Linked DNA regions of Saccharomyces cerevisiae S288C. The gene in region 1 interacts genetically with each later gene. Each region holds a gene or a part of one and is shown in the gene's direction. Other genes may lie near its edges. The genes, in order: CTP1, PEX34 and ZWF1.

Region 1 (3,275 bases):
ACACAATGTGATATCAGTACAATTCTTCATGCCATGGTACGTCGTCTCTATTTTCTTTTATATTCTGTTTATTATATCATGTTCTAAAAATGTCATATATACAATTCTGAAAAGGTTTTTGACCCTTACGTAACGCTATTCGGTCAACTACTTGTGAGACATATATTGTTCAAATATGTAAATGAAGAAAAGTACGCCTATTACTAGGATCCACAATACCGTAAAGCCTGTTAAACAAGGAGGAACAATATATATATCATAATTTTTTTAGAAAGAAAAGCCAAAGAAACAGCATTTGCAGGCACAAATCCGTGATAATAATGCATAGAACAATATGTGAAACCCCACAAGGTTACTGGTCGGATGATGAGCGAGCCCAGAGAAACCAACAGACCTCTGTAAACATCACTATGCCTTATCACCACACTTTACCATAATGCATTGAAAGTGCAATTGGAGAAGCCACCAATAGACGAGCTATGATGATATATTTAGCGTCCCTTAAAATATCGACTTATACAGTGGATAACATTTCCGCTCGCATTCCTCGAAGAGCATTATTTCCAAACTACTGTTGAAAAAAAAAAAATACGAAGACGACGCTTACCTGAGCACCCAGGATGTACACTTCGCCACAAATTTTGAGAGGCCTTTTGTTGTGATATTAGTTGAAATATATAACCACTTAATCAGGCAAAAAGACAGCAGTCACTATTTCAAGTTGGTAAAAAAATCCTGTTTTCGCTAATTGTCGATTTGGCCTTTCACCTGGACTTGAAAGCTTCAATTACGGCCTGATACATTCATTCTTTATACTGACCTTTGCCCAATTTATTATCCAGAACTATAGCCATTAGGTTGCAGGCCACTGGGACCACCACTGACTGGAAAATATTCTATTGACGAATTTTCCGCAACTCATCGCTGATTAGTTTATGAACTTATCCCGTCGGAATGAGAAAGTTACATATGCAGGAATTCTCTACAAGCAGCAATAACATGCTTTTATTTTACTGTCGTATTGTAATTGCTTATTCGGTTCCAAACATGTCAGCTATGCCAATATTTTAGAAGAGTGGGAAAAAAAAGAGATGTTATAGACGAACGACAAAAGTTGTGAAAAACTCGAATGGAGTAATGGAGCAAGAAACAAGAATCTGTCATAGTCAATACGTGATTTTGATATGCTTTCAAGCTTCTGAGAACTTCATTCATTACACTCCACCACATATACTATACAACGAATAGCCCAGTCGAAGAGGTTATGATTGTGTTCATTTATTTTTTTACATGACAGAGTCTCCCTATTGATACTAAGCTTGCTGCAATAACTCTTCTTACTAAGAGGTAACTTACATCTTGACTTTTTAATGAAGTTCCCAGCCGATTACCATTATACGTCGCCGTTTCGTTCATGTAAATATTCAAATATACTACACTTTATATCTTTGCTTCTTATATTTTCGCGCGTAGGTTTGCCTAATTACATTTTTATATTCCTCATCAATAAAGCCGCCAACAAAGAGCACAGGGTAGAAACTCTGCTGTCTGGGAACTCGGCTAACGCTTGTAAGCTATTTAATATTCTCAAATCATTTCAACACCTCTTTTTTTTTTTTCAAATATGTACTATTTTCTCTATTTCCATTAAGTTAGTCTTACTGAAGAGTCAAGAATATGGAAGAATTCCTGCGGAATTTTCAATTATTAGAAGTGAAAAAAAAAAAAAAGAAGAACAATGAAATTTAGTCTCACTTTAGCGTGATATATAAAACGTAAAATGTCGAAGCCAACGTAAAATTAAAAACATTTTGATGTCACAATGAAAGAACTCCAAAGTAGAGCTTGAATTATAAATTAGCATTTTACCGATGTCCAGTAAAGCTACCAAAAGTGACGTAGATCCATTGCACTCGTTTCTGGCAGGGTCCCTAGCCGGTGCTGCTGAAGCATGTATAACATATCCTTTTGAGTTTGCCAAAACAAGGCTGCAGCTGATTGATAAGGCCTCCAAGGCATCAAGAAATCCTCTGGTATTGATATATAAAACTGCAAAAACTCAGGGCATTGGTTCCATTTATGTCGGATGTCCCGCATTTATTATTGGAAACACCGCTAAGGCGGGTATTAGATTTCTTGGCTTTGATACCATTAAAGACATGCTAAGAGATAGTGAAACTGGAGAACTAAGTGGTACAAGAGGGGTGATAGCTGGGTTAGGTGCGGGACTATTAGAAAGTGTTGCCGCAGTGACTCCTTTTGAAGCAATCAAAACTGCTTTGATCGATGATAAACAATCTGCTACACCAAAATACCATAATAATGGGCGCGGTGTAGTACGAAACTATTCATCATTAGTCCGTGATAAAGGATTTTCTGGTCTTTATCGTGGTGTTTTGCCAGTTTCCATGAGACAGGCCGCAAACCAAGCCGTTAGATTGGGTTGTTACAATAAGATTAAGACCTTGATCCAAGATTATACGGATTCGCCAAAAGACAAACCTTTATCATCCGGGTTAACCTTCTTAGTGGGTGCATTTAGTGGTATTGTGACGGTCTATTCCACCATGCCCCTTGATACTGTGAAAACAAGAATGCAAAGTTTGGATTCCACCAAATACTCCTCTACAATGAATTGTTTTGCAACCATTTTCAAAGAAGAAGGGTTAAAGACGTTTTGGAAAGGTGCTACGCCTAGACTTGGGAGATTGGTCTTGAGTGGTGGTATTGTTTTCACTATCTATGAAAAGGTCTTAGTTATGCTAGCCTGAAATGTATTATTGTGTACAATATATCATCTAATGTTTTCTACTCGTTATAAGTCTATTTACCAGCCGATCACTTAAAAAAGTTATATATCTCTTTTTATCATAATGAAGAAGATGGCTTATGCTTGATTTTGACTTTGGTTGAGGTATTTCTTTTCCAATTTTTTGACTTGAATGTAGTCGTATATACTCTTCAGGGTGATAAATAGCCCAAGAAATGCCACAAAAACAGCCAACCATGGTATGTTTTGTTTTTCTTCATCCAGACCGTGATTCAAATGTGATTCAAATTTATCTTGTGTCGTTGATTGTGAATTTAGACGAACATCATCGAATTCATTTGGATCCTCTAATTCCATTCTATTTAAGCTTTTATTTTTGCCGACTTTTGAAGTAACATCATTGGGAATCATTGAATAACCATATCCAATGAACGTTAACCCTAATCCAAACCTTGAACCTTGCTTTGCTGCGTGAGATGTGTGTAAAATGTAGGTTATTAAAAAT
Region 2 (3,011 bases), on another chromosome or scaffold:
TAAGTACCTCGACTTCAAATCAAAACAAACAAACAAACAAGCAAACAAACAAATAAACAAACAAATTCTCTGTTCCTATTTTCTTCCTCTTTGTTCTGCACTTCCAGCTTTTTATGCGAGAACATCGTGTAAACTTCCTATTTAAGTAATTACATGGCTGAAAAAGTGAACACGCTAGAACACGAAAAGACAAAAAAGAAAAATGGAAAAAACAGAGGAAAATCAAGTAGAATAATGTTTATTTACCTTTCACTCAACTGTATCTTTTTGTTTATTTACTTTTCGAGTTTGCATAATTGTACTGAATCAATCCTTGCGCAATTTGGTTTTGAGAAGAGTTTCCAGTAAAATAAAATGCAAAATTATTGTTTATATACTTATTTACTAGTATATTTAATTGAGCTAAGCAAGGATTTATGTGTTGATGCTTTATTGTGCTTTTTGTACTGGACTTCTTGGTCTTAACAGCTCAATCTCATTTTTTAATGGGATATTCGAACCTAAATTAGCTATCTCTTCTTTATATCTCTTGGGTGAGAAGTTATCCAACATAACATCTGGGCTCACTATAACCCAGCCAGGTCTTACTTTGACGGGTGTCTCGTAACCAGTCCTTGCAGGAATAATATGTAATCGTCTAGTCGCGGTAGAGAAGTTTTCTGCAATACGATACAAATGGGATGGTACAGCACCATTAGTGGTGTCCTTCGTTTCGATACTCAAGTCAGTGTCTACGTTACAATGAATAAGATGTCCATCTGTAGACCTCCTTACTGTACCTGTGATACACATCCAACAGTGCCATTGCATTTTTTCCATCAACGTTTCATCGTCCTGATCTAAACCTGGATAAAACGGTGATTTCTTGTCAATAGGAACAAAAACCAATTCTTCACTTCTTCTAAACTTTTTAGCCCATATTTCATTATTCAAAAGTTTAGTAAGTTCATTGATTTTTTGAGAATTGGCCCAGATGAACAGGAAACCTGGTTTGGAGATCAATCTATCCAATGGCAATTGGGTTAAAATTGGGTAAATAAACTGATTTTCTGTTAAGCAGCCAATCATCACCACGTCGAAAGTCAAATTTTCGTTCTGTATCCAGTGATTCAACGTTGGAACAATGGAATCTATTCCGATTTTACACCCAAATGGCGTAGTGGCAAATTGATTTATTTGTTTAGCTTTCGCCTGAAATAATTTCTGAAGTTTTGGATAGCCATCAACCCTATTCTCAATATTAGTAACATGCTGTTGCGGTAGCGACTTCCCATGAATGTAGTTATTCGAGTAATCGTTTGTATGGAAGTCTCTAGAGGGTTTGAATGATACGTGTTTAGATTTCATTTCTATTGTTTCCTGGTTTGGCCCTTGCAAGTGACTGTTGTTGATGTGTCTGCTTTTATTCTGGTCGTAAGTTGGATCTTGGAATGCCATCTTAATAGTATTCTCACTTCTCTTTTGTTTTATAATGGCTGTTCTACTTTCTTCTATGTCATAATATTTAACAAAAAGTCGCACTTGAAAAGTTGAAACAAGTTATGTCGCAAGATGAAACTCGGAAATGACGAAGTGTGAAACAAGACTACAGAGCGACAAAAACCAAGCTGCAAATATACAGTAATGAAACTGAAAATATGTCCAGCAAAACTAAAATTGTTTGAGCTCGATACTAACTTCCTTCTTTTTTTTTTTTTTTTTTTTTTTACTTTTGGCTATCCTATTGTAAACGCTGTTTTACCCTTTTGCAAAGCATTTGATCACAAGATATATCCCAAAAACTATTTTTTGACTTAAGGCATTAAGAGGAGATAAGGCTCCTAATGTCACATCCAAAAGCCAAAGTATGGGACAAGCATTTCGCCCCTTTGCTCTTATTGCTTCTTGTTAAGTAGAAAGGGTAATTATAATCGAAAAATTCGCGGGAAATGATTTCAATGTTCGACTCTGAGGTAAGAAGTAAAGAGGAGATGAATAAAAGTAAAGGAAGAAGAAAAGAAAGTTGAATGGTTTCGAAGAAAAATACGGCTGAAATCAGTGCAAAAGATATATGGGAGAATATATGGAGTGGTGTAAGTTCGCTGCTTGATTTCTTCGCAGTATTGGAAAACCTAGGCGTGGTCAACGATAAGTTATATGTAAGTGGGCTATTACGGAAAGTTTGGCTGTGTTACTCGTGCATTTCAGTGATAAAATGTGTATGGAAATTAATAAAATTATGCAAGGTGAAATTTAAAATCGATCAACGATTGGATGGGGAGGGAAATGGTCTAGTAAAGGATAAGTTGATAAACTTCAAGAAAAAATATAACGAACATATCAGACATATTACTGCTGCTTTACTCCAAGATTTGAGCTATTTAATGGTTTTAATCTATCCAGGGACGAGGTTATTTAAAAGATTATCTAACATAATAACACTTTGTAGAATAATTGTATAATTTTATGCTTGAACGAATTTAGTTCTGTAAGCCCAGCTCCTTCAAGAAAGCATCCTTAGAAGGTTCCCTACCCAAAAATTCTTTCAGATTATCATTAATATCATAAAGGCCACCACGAGCCAACACAATATCACGGTATTGTATCCCATTCTTGGCATTTAACGGATCCTTAGCGAATTTGGTGTGATACATATCAGTTGCAAAGACTTCCGCCCATAGATAACCGTAATAACCGGCAGAGTAAGAGTCTGACATTATATGGCCAAATGAATCATAACCCTTGGATAACGTACCACCATTAGAAATCAAAGAAATATCCTGTCTCAATTGGTTCCAGGTATCGCAAATTGACAGGTTTTGCAAGTCTTTACAAGTATGTACTTTCATATCAAATAACCCAAAATGTAATTGTCTTAGAGTGAATAAAGCACCATTTACGTGTTTAGTTTTGATCAATGAATTGATCAAAGATTCTGGAATTTTTTCGCCCGTTTTGTAATGTGATGAGAGGTTGATTAATTCATTCTTATTCCAAGTCCAAAATTCTAACATTTGGGAAGGTGCCTCCAC
Region 3 (4,076 bases), on another chromosome or scaffold:
ATACGAGGTGAGCACGGAACCAGACCAACTGGAGAAGGTCTCTATTACCCTATCAGACTGCCTCGCGTGTTCTGGTTGTATAACGTCTAGTGAAGAAATCTTGTTGAGTAGCCAAAGTCACTCGGTTTTCCTGAAAAACTGGGGGAAGCTTTCGCAGCAGCAAGACAAATTCCTCGTTGTGAGTGTCTCGCCACAATGCAGACTATCTCTTGCGCAGTACTACGGCTTAACATTGGAGGCGGCCGATTTGTGTTTGATGAATTTTTTCCAAAAGCATTTCCAGTGCAAGTATATGGTTGGAACGGAGATGGGCAGAATCATATCGATTAGCAAAACCGTAGAGAAGATCATTGCGCATAAGAAACAAAAAGAAAATACCGGTGCGGACCGCAAGCCTCTATTATCTGCTGTGTGTCCGGGATTTCTTATATACACGGAAAAGACCAAACCGCAGTTGGTGCCTATGCTGCTCAATGTCAAGTCGCCTCAGCAAATTACGGGCTCGTTGATCAGAGCTACGTTCGAGAGTCTCGCTATCGCGCGTGAGTCCTTTTACCATCTGTCGCTGATGCCATGTTTTGACAAGAAACTAGAAGCGTCAAGGCCAGAATCGCTTGACGATGGGATTGACTGTGTCATTACGCCACGTGAAATAGTGACAATGTTACAAGAGTTGAATTTAGACTTCAAGTCGTTTCTTACTGAGGACACAAGTTTATATGGGCGGCTATCACCGCCGGGATGGGACCCGCGAGTCCACTGGGCGTCGAATCTGGGAGGCACTTGTGGTGGCTATGCCTACCAGTACGTAACGGCTGTCCAACGACTACACCCAGGAAGTCAGATGATAGTTCTGGAGGGTAGAAACAGCGACATTGTCGAGTACCGATTGCTGCACGATGATCGCATAATAGCCGCCGCCAGCGAGCTTTCCGGGTTTAGAAACATCCAAAATCTGGTGCGTAAACTGACCTCGGGCTCCGGGTCAGAGCGCAAGAGGAACATCACCGCTCTGCGGAAGAGACGAACAGGTCCAAAGGCGAACTCACGCGAGATGGCGGCCGCCACGGCCGCCACGGCCGATCCCTACCACTCGGACTACATCGAGGTAAACGCGTGTCCGGGTGCATGCATGAACGGTGGTGGCCTACTCAATGGCGAGCAAAACAGTCTCAAGCGGAAGCAGTTGGTTCAGACACTGAATAAGCGTCACGGAGAGGAGCTAGCAATGGTAGATCCTCTAACCCTGGGACCCAAGCTAGAAGAGGCGGCAGCCCGCCCGCTTTCGCTAGAGTACGTCTTCGCGCCCGTCAAGCAGGCCGTCGAAAAGGATCTCGTCTCTGTTGGGAGCACCTGGTAAGTAAGGTGTAGTTTTGCACCCGTGTACATAAGCGTGAAATCACCACAAACTGTGTGTATCAAGTACATAGTGACATTTAAATAATAGCAAGAACAACAATAATAGTAGCGCTACTGGAAGCACCACGTAATAGTGGAAAAGAACTGGAAAAACCGCTATAAGATGCATACTCCGGCGGTCTTACGCGGAGATACAAGCTTCCAACGGTGCTAAAAGCCCGGTTTCGGCTCGGCCGGAGGAGGAAGAGAGACGAAAAAAAAAAAAATGACTAAAAAAAAAATGGAATATTATTAATGTGGGATTTTTGGCTCAAGGTGTGGTGGCCCCTTTTCTAAGGGTGGCGAATTCTTCAATGTACGGAAAACTCGCCAAGGCTATCCCATATATAAGCAAACTGTGGGTTCATCTATATACCGACACATAACACCTAAAGTGGCTTCCTCCTGCCCCTCTCTCCCTTTTCTCCACTCACCCCTCCTTCTCCCCCTTCCCCCTCTCCAATTGGCTGTATAGACAGAAAGAGTAAATCCAATAGAATAGAAAACCACATAAGGCAAGATGAGTGAAGGCCCCGTCAAATTCGAAAAAAATACCGTCATATCTGTCTTTGGTGCGTCAGGTGATCTGGCAAAGAAGAAGACTTTTCCCGCCTTATTTGGGCTTTTCAGAGAAGGTTACCTTGATCCATCTACCAAGATCTTCGGTTATGCCCGGTCCAAATTGTCCATGGAGGAGGACCTGAAGTCCCGTGTCCTACCCCACTTGAAAAAACCTCACGGTGAAGCCGATGACTCTAAGGTCGAACAGTTCTTCAAGATGGTCAGCTACATTTCGGGAAATTACGACACAGATGAAGGCTTCGACGAATTAAGAACGCAGATCGAGAAATTCGAGAAAAGTGCCAACGTCGATGTCCCACACCGTCTCTTCTATCTGGCCTTGCCGCCAAGCGTTTTTTTGACGGTGGCCAAGCAGATCAAGAGTCGTGTGTACGCAGAGAATGGCATCACCCGTGTAATCGTAGAGAAACCTTTCGGCCACGACCTGGCCTCTGCCAGGGAGCTGCAAAAAAACCTGGGGCCCCTCTTTAAAGAAGAAGAGTTGTACAGAATTGACCATTACTTGGGTAAAGAGTTGGTCAAGAATCTTTTAGTCTTGAGGTTCGGTAACCAGTTTTTGAATGCCTCGTGGAATAGAGACAACATTCAAAGCGTTCAGATTTCGTTTAAAGAGAGGTTCGGCACCGAAGGCCGTGGCGGCTATTTCGACTCTATAGGCATAATCAGAGACGTGATGCAGAACCATCTGTTACAAATCATGACTCTCTTGACTATGGAAAGACCGGTGTCTTTTGACCCGGAATCTATTCGTGACGAAAAGGTTAAGGTTCTAAAGGCCGTGGCCCCCATCGACACGGACGACGTCCTCTTGGGCCAGTACGGTAAATCTGAGGACGGGTCTAAGCCCGCCTACGTGGATGATGACACTGTAGACAAGGACTCTAAATGTGTCACTTTTGCAGCAATGACTTTCAACATCGAAAACGAGCGTTGGGAGGGCGTCCCCATCATGATGCGTGCCGGTAAGGCTTTGAATGAGTCCAAGGTGGAGATCAGACTGCAGTACAAAGCGGTCGCATCGGGTGTCTTCAAAGACATTCCAAATAACGAACTGGTCATCAGAGTGCAGCCCGATGCCGCTGTGTACCTAAAGTTTAATGCTAAGACCCCTGGTCTGTCAAATGCTACCCAAGTCACAGATCTGAATCTAACTTACGCAAGCAGGTACCAAGACTTTTGGATTCCAGAGGCTTACGAGGTGTTGATAAGAGACGCCCTACTGGGTGACCATTCCAACTTTGTCAGAGATGACGAATTGGATATCAGTTGGGGCATATTCACCCCATTACTGAAGCACATAGAGCGTCCGGACGGTCCAACACCGGAAATTTACCCCTACGGATCAAGAGGTCCAAAGGGATTGAAGGAATATATGCAAAAACACAAGTATGTTATGCCCGAAAAGCACCCTTACGCTTGGCCCGTGACTAAGCCAGAAGATACGAAGGATAATTAGAAAAATGCAAGCACATTCATTTATCGGCTAAGTCACTGAAATTTTTTTTTTCGAGTGATTTTATCTTGCAAGCTCACTCTCTTTGTTCTTTTCTCCTCTATAATGGCATCTTCCCCCCACCAACTCCTCTCTACTTGCGTGTGTATTTGTTTGTATACATGTGTAAATATATATACATAAAAGAATGTCGTCTCATGTATTTTTTAACTTTTAGCCGCGGTCAGTGACATTTTGGCTTTCCCACCATTCCACGTCTGAAAAAAAAAAAAAAAAAAGAGATAAAATATGAATTGAATATATATCAAAAATGTCTGCAAAAATTTTTACGAATCAGTCCGATTGGACTTGTACTTATCATTGATTTGCTCGTTATGCGTCTTATCCACTTGATTAGCTATTCCCTGTAAAGTCTTAGACACTGCCTCAGTGGCCCCAATTAACGGCCGAATAATTGCCACAGGTGCAGCTCTAGCAACATAAACTGCTGCGGCGCTCGGCCCTCCCCGTTTATCATCCTTCATCTGTCCCTTTGCCCTCCATACCGCATCGTACGCAATATGCATATGCTTTTCTAATGAACTATACGCCTCCTTCAAACCCGTGGGCAGGTCGAGGGGCTGATCTGCGTACAGACTCACTA

The links.
Region 2: of CTP1 (region 1) and PEX34, changing one suppresses a phenotype caused by changing the other (phenotypic suppression), as found in Saccharomyces cerevisiae (one study listed by BioGRID).
Region 3: of CTP1 (region 1) and ZWF1, a mutation in one rescues a mutant of the other (synthetic rescue), as found in Saccharomyces cerevisiae (one study listed by BioGRID).

What each region holds. Positions count from the first base shown.
Region 1 is NC_001134.8:783,169-786,443, reverse strand, and holds CTP1 (Ctp1p), read left to right. Parts: upstream 1-1,871; coding exon 1,872-2,771; downstream 2,772-3,275. Other genes in the region: YBR292C (uncharacterized protein), read left to right, coding at 1,371-1,742; BSD2 (Bsd2p), read right to left, coding at 2,888-3,275. UniProt on the Saccharomyces cerevisiae protein: Transport of citrate across inner mitochondrial membrane.
Region 2 is NC_001135.5:26,355-29,365, reverse strand, and holds PEX34 (Pex34p), read left to right. Parts: upstream 1-2,006; coding exon 2,007-2,441; downstream 2,442-3,011. Other genes in the region: KAR4 (Kar4p), read right to left, coding at 430-1,437; PRD1 (metalloendopeptidase), read right to left, coding at 2,460-3,011. UniProt on the Saccharomyces cerevisiae protein: In concert with the three peroxisome divisional factors, PEX11, PEX25 and PEX27, controls peroxisome morphology and abundance under conditions of peroxisome proliferation. Maintains mature peroxisomes in actively dividing cells.
Region 3 is NC_001146.8:195,786-199,861, reverse strand, and holds ZWF1 (glucose-6-phosphate dehydrogenase), read left to right. Parts: upstream 1-1,918; coding exon 1,919-3,436; downstream 3,437-4,076. Other genes in the region: iron-sulfur cluster assembly protein NAR1, read left to right, coding at 1-1,360; ATG2 (Atg2p), read right to left, coding at 3,760-4,076. UniProt on the Saccharomyces cerevisiae protein: Catalyzes the rate-limiting step of the oxidative pentose-phosphate pathway, which represents a route for the dissimilation of carbohydrates besides glycolysis.